Linked DNA regions of Caenorhabditis elegans. The protein of the gene in region 1 interacts with the protein of each later gene in a pairwise test. Each region holds a gene or a part of one and is shown on either strand. Other genes may lie near its edges. The genes, in order: golg-2, gei-4 and magi-1.

Region 1 (3,754 bases):
CCCATAGTTGGTTACTGTACTCCTTAGAGGCGCAAACTACTTTACCGTGTACTCGACGGACATATTTCGGTCGTAGCAAGATCAAGGACTGTATTTTTGAGTGAAAAACTGAATAATAATAGGTTTTACCTCACTTCGTGTGTTTTCTATACAAGTTTGGAATTAATATATAACCGCAGCCGCCAAAGGAGAATTCTTAATTCATTTGCGCAAAAATTAAAAAATAGTTTTGTAGAAATATTTTTGTTCCGAGAAAGTAGCCGTTCTCCTATAGGATATTATAAATATTGCTGAAGTGGAGAGAAAGTTTATAGTACAGTACTCCAAAAAAAATTCAGGGTATATCCGAGTCGCTAAAAAGGAGATTCGATTCGATTTTCTTCTGCAGTCACGAATTCAATTCAATTGGGAATAAATTCGAAACAAAACTAAACCAAAAACTTGCATAAAACATTTGAAAAAAGTGGCGCGGAAGTGACACTGACGGCTGTCCTTTATGTCCGTCCATGTACACAGCTGGAGTAGAAAGATCGATTGTGCTCAGAGCGTGATTTGGAGGAAGGTCGTATTTTATATGCAAGTGACAGTTTCAGATAACACATTTTTTCAGAGAACTACAGTAATGACATTGATTATTTTTCCGAAAGGTTTCTAGGTACTGAACAATTGGTCTTCAAAAATTTCGGAAACTCGTATCAGTGTTTTTCCAAATATTTTTAAAAACTGAGCGAATAACCAAAATATAATCTTCAAATTTGCTTGTGTATTCTAATGCTTTACAGTATACAGAGATAATAGGCTTGTTTATGTTCTCCTACAGTACCCCTCCACACTCGGGAATTATATATTCCTCATTTATCCTTCATTTTTAAATATTTTACATATATCTCATATGAATTCGTTGCTACTATGATCACCATTCTTTTTAATTTTCAGTTTAACACTGTCATGAAAAGTTTTGAAGAACATTTTCCAATATTCACTTCTATGTACTCATAAATTTCGTTTTCCTGCGTATTGTGTCTCTAGTAAGTGCCAATGGGGCGCGTTTTCATCAAAAATTTTTGAAGATATTTTTTTTCCTAGTATTTTTTTATTAATTTTCTTCACATTTTTTTCAAATTTAATACATTCGATTATATAACATATATTTTGCTTCATAAAATTCCCCATTTCCTATGTCCGTTTAAAAATATTTTGTCCCCTTCCGGAATTCCATGACCAATTCAATTCCTTCTAAAATATCAAATTACTGGAAGACTTTGACTTCTCGCTTTGTCCTTTTCGTTTCCAATTTTTAAAACAAATAAAAAGGCAGAAAATAAAACAGATTTTGTTCCAGATGAGATTGACTCGGATTTTGCGTGTTTTAATCAGAAGAAAAGACGGGCAGGCCGAATGGAAGGAAATCACGGAAAATCAGTTACCTAAAGGAGGAAAGAAGCTTTCTTTTAGAGAGGTCTATTTTGATAATCAATTTTAAAAACGAATTAAGTATTTTCCAGAACTCCCTAATCGCATTTGGAGTAGGCATGCTGATATTTTCTTATGCCTACTTCCAAGATGAGATCAATCCTGATTCAAAGTGGGCTAGTGAGTTGATATTCTCAATTAAAATGTTATCTTCAACTACTTAATTCTAGAAGCATACCGCACGTTCACACGAGAACCTCTTGCCTGGCTCACCAAGGGGCAAACCGATTCGCCTGTCTCATCTGATCACAAGCCTCCAGTTTTCTAATTTGCTCGGTTGTTTTTTAGCATTTATTTCCAAAGTTTCGTTAGTTATTTGTACATAAACCTATTATTTTTTCTTTTTTGTGTGAATTTCTGCTGCTTTCATTGCGAACTCGCTTTGTTGTCTGCGCTATGTCGTCAATTGCGGTGTTTGCGTCCAACCACTAATTTCCACGTCTTTTTTCATTTTCAGCTTTTAAAATCGATAGATTTTACTGTTTTTCGGCGTAAAGCTGGATTAATCAGTGATATGGTCGATGCCGCTGCACCTGCCAAAGCTGAAATGCTGGCAGCGGCCAGGAAAAAGGTGAGAATCGTGAGGAAACTTTATTAAAACAAAGTTTATAGAGTAAATTTTACAGCTGAAAGACTTTGAAGCACGTCAAAGACTCGATGGACGTAATTCTCCTGCATCAAGTATCATTTCATCAGAGCCGGGTGCTGGAGCAGGTTTAAATGGACGGAGCAGCGTTGTCAGTGAAGATTCGACAGCGCTTCAAATTCCACACTCATCTTCTTCTGCACAAAGTTTGAATGCAAGAAATGGATTGGATGTGAGAAAATCGATAACATCGTTAAATGAGTAAATGTTTTCTTCAGGCTTCACCATTTCAACCGAACGGAAACGAATGGTATCAGGCATATACACAATTGAAGACCCAGCATGACGAATTGGTAAGGATAATGAGAAATTGACAAATACAAAAACTAATTCGTTAATTATATGAATAATGATTTTATTAAAAAAAAAATCATTTTAGTGTGCCCATTACTCCCAACTTCATTCCGCTTATTCACAAGTCAATGCAAATGGAATACATGTGGATACAGAAAATCAAATTGTCCAACTCCAAAATGTAAGGATTACTCGTTTTATTTATTTTAATTTAATGATGGAGTATTCAGGCATTGTCTGCAATGGTTGAAGAGAAAGTTTCGTCTCAAAGTGATCTTCGTCAGGCAAACAAGCAAATCGAAAAACTTCGACACAAGCTGGCTGCTGCAGAGAACATTGCCAACCAAATGAGCAATTCAACATCATCTGGACTTTCGTCAAACGAAATTCGAAAACTCAATGAAGCAATTGCACAAAAAGATTCCCTATTAACTGCACGTCATCAAGAGCTAGAAGGAGCTCGACGAGAAGTTGCATCAATGCAAGCTAACCTGCTAAATGTTCAACACGAGAGAAGTGAAGCACAAGCACGTGTGAAAAGTATGATAAAAGAAACGGCGGCTCAAGAAAATCGCATCAGTCAGCTCATGAAAGACATTCAAATGAAAGATCTTTATTTGAAACAACTTGGAGCCACAGGACCGCCGGGAGGGATTCCGAATGAGAATACGAATTATGAAAACTTGCAACGTGAGCTGGAGAACGTTAAAGCTGAAAAATCACGTCTTCTCGTCGAATCTGCGACATTAAAAGCTCACTATGCTGATCGAGAGTATGCACTTCAACAAAAGCAAGCAGAGATGGCTTTAGAAATCGAGCATTTGCATAATCAAAAATTTTCTTCAAACGATCAAGTTGAACATCTCGAAAATCAACTCGAAATTGCTCAATCTGAACTGCAGAAGCTTCAAATGAATATGGATGTTTCTGAGAGGCATGATGAAATTCCAACTATCACAGAAGAAGATGTAGCAAGACGGATTCGTGAAGCGTGTTTCGTTGAAAGAGGGAAGTGGGAACGAAGAAGTGAGGATGATCAGAAACGCAGAGAAGAAGAAATTCTAGAAAAAGACAAAGTTATTTTCGAAAGAGAACAGTCATTGGCAGAACTTGAAATGAAATATCGACTTTTGGAAGAACGAACGTTAGAGTCAACTGCAAACGGAGCTGATTTGTTGTCTCTTTCAGAGCAACTACAGGTAGATTTACAATTTTCAATATTTTTCCCTGATTTTTCAAATTTTCGAATTTACAGAACGAAAAAGCGACCGTATCCCGCGCAGTGGCACAAAACAAAGAGCTTAAAGAACGTCTCTTGGAAACGGAAGACCGATTTGTTAC
Region 2 (3,754 bases), on another chromosome or scaffold:
CTCAAGGATAGCCTGAGCTCCATTCTAGTCTGATTCCACATGGTATATCCAGGACTACTGGAGAGCCCCAACAACTTTCAAGCTTTTCTAAGGCCTGGGTTCTCTATTTTAACAGACCCAAGAGGCCTGATATCATAGCCTCTGAATACGGTAGAAGCCAAGTTCTGCTCCTCTTCCTCTCCTTATACTATCTCCTGTGCTTCTTCTCCTTCTTCTTTCCTCACTGAGAGTGCCTGAGAGTTATTGTCGGCCGTCATTCGCCTCTCTTGTTTTCGAGTCTGCCGCACCCTCCGATCCATCTCTCCCCATCTTTCTCTCCGCATCACGTTACCCATTCATTCGGCACTCCTCCACGCACTCTCCACAATCGATACGCTGTCGTCACGGCCTCTAAGCACACACACTCCACGACGGGCGCGCTCTCTCGTGCCGGGTGTCTCGTGATCTCCGCCACTCGGCACAGTGTCTAGTGATGTTTGGACTCTCCGCAGCGCGCATTGTGTATGCGAGTGTGCAACGCGTCTCCGCGTCGCGGTCGGCCTCCCCTCGTACACAATGCCCCGCCCGTCTCCAATCTCTCCTCCCTCTCGTCCTATGCGCCCCAAATCGTCCTCTTCTTTTGTGTATATGTTTCGTTTTCTCTTAGTCTTCTTCCTCTTCTACTACTACTACTTTTTGCCCCCCGTCTTGTTCCCTTCATCTCCCTACACTTCTTCTTCTTCTTACCATCCCCAACCGCATCCATCCGCCATCACACACTCTTTTCCGCTGATTTTGGGAGCGCAGAGACAGAAGGCAGGCAGGCAACAAAATAGTGTGGTTAACAGTGATGATGGGAAGAGCATGGGCGGTTTAGGCGCGAAGAGGACAAATTTGAATTCTAAAAATCGACTTGAAACGGAGAGGTACAGGTTGGATTTGATGCCTTGGCCGTGAAATGGGAAAATTCGGAGGGATTTTCAGAGAACCCACAGCGATAGGAATTGGAAGACGGTATTAGAACCATTACATTAGGCTTTAGGCTCAGGTACTTGGATACGGGGCCCTCGTGGTGTCAGGCTGTCCTACTATGGTTTGATCTACAAAAAAATGCGGAAATTTTTGGCCCATAAAAATGTGACGTCAGCAAGTTCTTAACCATGCAAAATCAGTTGAGAACTCTGCGCCTCAACTCCGGCATTTTTTGTAGATCTACGCAGATCAAACCGAAATGAGACACTCTGAGACTTTTTCGTGGGGACCGCGGATATAAAAGGTCGGCCACCAAAATTCATTGCTCTTCTAGAATGCTAACTCTGCCTCTGGAACCCAAAATACCTCTGGATTTGCTGAAACTAGCTTAAAAGTGGATCAGCAGGACCTTTTCCGCAGGATTTAGAGGGACTGACCGAGTTTTCTCTTTCACGGCCACCATGTTCAAGCAGTGCACCTGGGCACCTGTGCACACAGCTCCAACACGAAAAGAAACTAAGATTTTTGCATTTTCAGTAAAATTCAGAAAATTCCACGTGGATCAGTGAAAATTTGGCGCAATTCCGTCGAAATTAGTACATGCTGGGACTATAATAAGAATTTTTTAAGCTTTTGCAGTGAGATACGTTGTTTTCAATTTTATTTTTCAATTTTTCAATCAAAATTCATGTATTCTTCTTTTGTTCCAGTCATTTTAAGCAGTGTTTTCATTATTCTAGTCTTATGAAATTCGAAAAATTGAGAAGGAGGCAAGTGCGCTCCAGTGACACTCCGGCAAATTTGAATTCGAAACTTATCTGCTTCTCTATTTTTCTCACTTTCTCCATTTAATTTCTTATTTTTCTTTGGTTTTCCTGGTTTTCCTTGGTTTTTCTTCAAAAAATTAATTTTTCAAGTGATTAAAATTGTTTCCAGCACAATTATATCCTTATTAAATCGCAATTCTCATCGGAAACTAGCTTAAAAACCTAAAATTCCAATTTTTTCAGGCTCGGAAACACAAAAAATAATAAAAAATGCAGCAGAATATACAATACACATACAGTTCGGATCCCCGCTCGGGCGGTAATCAAAATCAGCAGCTACACGGAATATCGCAATTTCAACAGAACTCCTATCAGCCGACGACGTATTCAAATTCAAATGCGAACAATTTTCATTCCTCTAATTCCGCAACTTTTATACCTAATTCAGTGACGGTAGGGGATTTTCAGGAAATCGAGTGAAAATGTTCAATTTTATTTAATTTCAGCAAACACCTCAGCGGCGGATGGGAGAAGAGAAGAGTTTAGTTAATATGCTTGACGCTTATTTTATCGACAGTACGACACCTTCAACATCAACGTCGTGGAATAATCAGCAGCCAGTTCAGGTAAAAATCGTAAAAATCGTGCGATTTGGCTTAAAAAAATGGCGGAAATCTCGAAAAATCTCGATTTTCCTCATTTTTTACCGTAAATTCTATCGTAATTGTGGTTGTGTTTGTGAATCGTGATTTATTTTATAGATGTCTTCAATACAACAATCAGTTGGATCATACAATCAACAAATACCTCAGTTGAAAGTAGGAGATGTGGTAAATTCGTTGTTTTTTCTTTGTTTTTTTTTGGGGAGAATTTCGTGTTATTCAGTGATTTTTTCAAGGAATTTTGAATTTTGCAGCTCGAAATCCGCGTGGATTTTCGCATTTGAGCGGATTTTTCAAAAAATTTGCTCAAAAAGTCGATAAGTTACTGGAACTTGCTTAGTTTTGCAACTATGGTCTGCTAAATAATTAGCAGACCAAAGGTGGGTATGCTAAATATTTAGCAGGCCCAAGTTGGGTATGCTAAATATTTAGCAGACCCAAGATGCGAAATCGAGCAGAATTTGTCCATTTCTCGAGTTTTAATGCGAATTTTAAGTTTCAACACACTGAAAACACGAATTGAATGAAATCACGCAGCGAACTCACCGAGCACACCTCAGAAACATTTCAGGACCTACAAGTAGAAGGAATGAATGTTAAACTCTCCTCGTCACCCGACAAAGGCGAGAAGGATCGAGTAAAGAAGGCGCGACAGGCAGAAGCCGCCCGAATGCGTTATCACCGACTATCAAACGAAGAGAAACGAGAGTTAAACCTGAAAAGAACGTTGGCGCAGAAGCGAAAACGGCAACGTGAGAAGGAGATGGAGGAGCTCGAATCGATTTTGCGGGAGACAAATGACATTCAAGAGGATCCGGACATCACCGAACAGCTCAGAGAGAAGAGAATGCGGGCCAAGTGGGCAGAGGCCGCCCGTACACGTTACGCTAGAATGACGCCGGAAGAGCGCCGGGCGCACAATACGCGGAGACGTATGCGGCAGATGCAGAACGCGATGAGCGCGATTAAGGTGAATATAGAACATTGAATTCTAGCAGAAAATCTGGAAAATTAGCGGAGAAGAGGAAAATTTAATTGGGTGAAAATCTATTTTTGGTAAAATCTCTCCTCCCTAACACACAAAATTTGTAATTTTTCCGCTGCTACCGTGACGTAACATTCCAGAAATCGGAGTTTCAGGCATGTGGAATGGCTACAGGAGATCCACAGAAGGACGACGAGGCTGTCCGGTTGCACATCAAGACGCAGAATGCGAAAAAAGCGGAGGCGGCTCGTCAACGGTAAGGAAGAGATTCGGGGGAATCAGAATAGCTTGGGTCTGCTAAATATTTACCATACCAAACTTGGGTCTGCTAAATATTCAGAATGGGTCTGCTAAATATTTAGCATACCCAACTTTGGTCTGCTAAATAT
Region 3 (3,754 bases), on another chromosome or scaffold:
ATAAAGGTTCCTATAGGAGTTCTCTGTAGAGAACTTCAACTATATTTTGGAAGCATGATTTTCCCTGTTTCGCCTTTGTCTCTTCTCAGCATCAATCAAATTTTTGCATTTCTCAGGATTAATGTGTGTCTTTTTCGTTGTGTTCTCGTAACTACGAATCTCCAGCTGATTCCCTCGAGTACAAATTGCAAACAGCCGTCCCCTTCTTCTACTTCTTGTCCTTCATTTTTGTTTCTAAAGTCGCTGTCATCACTGTGATTCTGTGGTGACTGCTGCAGCACAACATGCCAGATGCGTGGCAGATGTTGAAAACTTTCGGAAGTTTGTGTAGAAATCGGAGAAGAAGAAGAAGAACTTGACGAATTATATGAGCCTGACCAGCGCTGTCGTCTCGGTGCGTTTACCATTAGTATGTTACAAAATTGACCTGTCTCCCTTTCTTTTTCTATCCGCAGAGGATTTAACGCTTTATGAGAAAACCGTTCACCATATTATCGGCGAGAAGCAAAAGTGCGTGCCGTAACGGCAAAGTGTATGTTTGTTCTCCAAATATCACATTCAGCTTTTTTGCGCCTCGCAAGAAAATGCTCTAGGCTTGCCGACGGTCAACTCGAACCTTCTGGACCAAATTGAAAATTTTCCGACTGTCCTGAAACTATAGCTCCTAATAGTTGTATTTTATTTTTAAATTCAAAAATTTTCCAACATTAAGAAAGAAGGGAATCGAGTTTCCCAGGTGCAATGACTCACGGCTTTTCGAACGAAAGTGGGATTTTTGACGAATTTCAAATTTTCGAAAGTGGCAAGTATTTTCGCTAAAGTAATGTTATTCTTTTCAAAATATTGTCTAAATTTTCTAATTTATTACTAGAAAGTTTTAAAGTGCTACAGTAATCATGACTCTAAAATTATTAAGTTAACATGTATATTTCAATTTTATCTAATTCATTATAAATATGTATTGAAAACTTACTTATATTATTTAGTTGAATTTTTATTAGAAACACCAGTTTTTACTAAAAAATAGAGTTTAAATATTTTTCATGTCTCTTTTAGTAACAAAATTTATTGAGTGATACCCGTAGAAAACAACAGGTGTGACCGCACTAAAATATATACAACACACTACATTTCCCGCAATTCATGTAGGCCAAATGGTGGTGGGTACACTGCACGCGTGTTAGAGTTGCCCCTCGGTTTAGTCGATCGATAAACAGTATTGCATCCCTGCTAGTCTTCCACATACCTCTTTAAGACACTACATGGAACAATTCAATTTTTTTTCGCTTTTTTCATTTTTTTCTTTTATCAATAATATCTTCGAACTTCCAAAACATTACACGATTTGTTTTGTTTCTGTTCAAATTGAGTTCAAAATAGGGCGCGCGAAATTTTTTTAGTCGAAGACTTCATTTTTCGGTTTTTCTTGCTCGTTTTGCGCTATACTTTTCAATACATTTTGCGCAAATATCTTGTTGTCACCTGACAGTGCTAAACTTTCTGAAAAATCTGCGCGCACTTCTTCTTATTTATTCTTCTTCCAATTTCCAATCTCTGACTCATTATTAATTTGTCATTTCGACAGCGCCTTATTCATATTCACACTGCACTCTTTCTCATCTTTTGCTTGTCCCTTGCTCTCCTTCGGGTTCTCTTGAGGTCGCCGACACACAAACGGTTGTTTCGTAATAAATATTTATTTGTTTTCGCAAAATTTATGCGGTCCCCTTTCTCATGGGCCATTCCGAACTTTGAAGATAGTAATTCATTTTCGTTGCAGAGAAGACATTCCAACTCGACATTCTCTTAATGAACCCACGACTAAAAAGATGACCGACAAAACAGCTGGTGAGATTGAGAGTTTAGTCCATAAACATCAAGATTATTAATTTCAGAACTTTGCCTGAAAATTGGAGATGAAGAAAAGGATGATTTCACATTGGAAATTGAAAAGCTTCAGGTTTGTTTTGATTTGTTTCATGTCTAACGGCTCCACCCCAAAATAAAACTCATTTCAAAACCACTTCCCATTGTTTATTCGCAAGAAAAAAGGATTAGTGAAGTAGTGGAAGGCTCTTCCCAACCACTTGTTCGTCGTCCTTCTGAATTCCTCCCCTCACTATCCCAAGTTTTCAGGCCACTCTTCAAGAAATGCTCGATTGCACGAGCAGCCCAAGCACTTCACTAGATTCCACTGACAAACGTGAGTTATTCAATCATTTATGACCTTCAAGAAAGATATTGAGTTTAACGAAGAAGTTTAAAGTTTGAATATTCCATGCATTTCAAAGTTCAGTTTACAGTGAAATATAAAACAGAGCTTTTAGTTATTGTGTGGTTGAAAAGTTTTTAATTCTTTAGTGAGTTTTTTTTTCAAACATAGATAGATATAATACAATATGCTCCCTATTAGTATTACACCTACATTTCTATACTCTGAGATTTCATATTTCGATTATTTCTAAAGATAAAAATGTAACCTAAATTTTACTAGTTGAATACTTTCACTGTCAAAAGAAACACAGTAGGAGCACACGTTAATACCTAATTTTTTAATATTCATCAAGACTGTCTTAAAATTTTTTTTTGTTTGGGTTCCGAATAAAAATTTAACAACTAAAGCAAAAAAAATCATTGTAAGTCAAGAAAGATCATTTTTGAAAAAAAAACCAAAAATCAGGAAATAGCCAAAAAAAGACTGAAAATAATTTTTAATATTCTAGTGCCATCCGGACTTGCTGCTCGTCGACTGATCCGTATTGCCAGTGAACATCATCATATTTCCACGACATCTTCTTGCCATTCGGACTCTGGAAACTCTTCATCTCGAGACGTCATCACCCCGTTTACAGTACATGGCGGAGCCTCAATTGGACGACTCATTCTGATTGATATTGTGCGACGTGATGATTTAATTGGAATTGTTCATCCTAACGATATTCTTTTAACAATTGAGAACATGTAGGTTTTCTAGAACATTTCTTTTTTTATTATTTAAATTTTCAGAAAAGTATCAGGAATGGTAAGATCTGAAGTGAATAGGATATTGGAAGATATGATGAGAGAACATGATCAAATTGCGATTGAAATTCTACCAGCTGGAGCAATTACCGATGATATTTGTGAACTACTGGCCGATAGAAAATCATCTGGTGAACTTCAGACTATCATTCGAGAAAATTTATATCAGAAGACAGTTCCTTGTGAGTTACAAAAAAAGTTGATCTGAAACTAACTAGATTGGATTTAATACTTATAAGTTTCATTCCTCAAAACCTCATTGTTTTCAATGGCACTAGCAGCTGCCCACAGGGAGTATCATTGAGATGAAATAGTGTGTGATCTAGAGAAACCTAGACATCCGCCCCATTAAATTAGGTGATTTAGGATCTAGGGGATCATCACAAGGTGGGGGAGGGTCCGAAGCTGGCCACCAGTGGAAGTGTTAAAATGTTCGGTTCGCCTTTACCAAAACATTCACTAAAACCTGCATTTCTTTCCAAACGAACATCTCTTCCTGTTATTGATCTAAAAGATTATTATGGAGGGACAAGTATTGAAGTTAAAACAAATTTCAATTTCAAAGTGACCATTTTCAGACACAACTCGACCTCCACGAGAAGGTGAAGTTGATGGAGAACACTATCGATTTGTGTCTGTAGATGATTTTAATAAGCTTCTCGACAGTGGTGACTTGCTCGAAAATGGTACATATCAAGGTAACCTCTTTTCTCCATGTTCAACTATTTTACGC

Evidence for each region.
Region 2: the proteins of golg-2 (region 1) and gei-4 interact in a two-hybrid assay, tested with the Caenorhabditis elegans proteins (one large-scale study listed by BioGRID).
Region 3: the proteins of golg-2 (region 1) and magi-1 interact in a two-hybrid assay, tested with the Caenorhabditis elegans proteins (one large-scale study listed by BioGRID).

The regions. Positions count from the first base shown.
Region 1 is NC_003280.10:5,038,268-5,042,021, reverse strand, and holds the start of golg-2 (Golgin subfamily A conserved domain-containing protein), read left to right. Parts: upstream 1-1,930; 5' UTR 1,931-1,987; coding exon 1,988-2,044; intron 2,045-2,099; coding exon 2,100-2,291; intron 2,292-2,337; coding exon 2,338-2,412; intron 2,413-2,498; coding exon 2,499-2,594; intron 2,595-2,643; coding exon 2,644-3,612; intron 3,613-3,668; coding exon 3,669-3,754. Other genes in the region: F33G12.7 (uncharacterized protein), read left to right, coding at 1,343-1,459, 1,506-1,593, 1,644-1,741.
Region 2 is NC_003281.10:346,635-350,388, reverse strand, and holds the start of gei-4 (BZIP domain-containing protein), read left to right. Parts: upstream 1-1,961; 5' UTR 1,962-1,988; coding exon 1,989-2,171; intron 2,172-2,224; coding exon 2,225-2,344; intron 2,345-2,479; coding exon 2,480-2,548; coding exon of another isoform or gene 2,549-2,701; intron 2,702-2,951; coding exon 2,952-3,350; intron 3,351-3,505; coding exon of another isoform or gene 3,506-3,520; coding exon 3,521-3,621; intron 3,622-3,754.
Region 3 is NC_003282.8:11,713,261-11,717,014, forward strand, and holds the start of magi-1 (Guanylate kinase), read left to right. Parts: upstream 1-1,778; 5' UTR 1,779-1,829; coding exon 1,830-1,848; intron 1,849-1,895; coding exon 1,896-1,960; intron 1,961-2,136; coding exon 2,137-2,203; intron 2,204-2,723; coding exon 2,724-2,961; intron 2,962-3,006; coding exon 3,007-3,203; intron 3,204-3,264; exon of another isoform or gene 3,265-3,441; intron 3,442-3,599; coding exon 3,600-3,719; intron 3,720-3,754.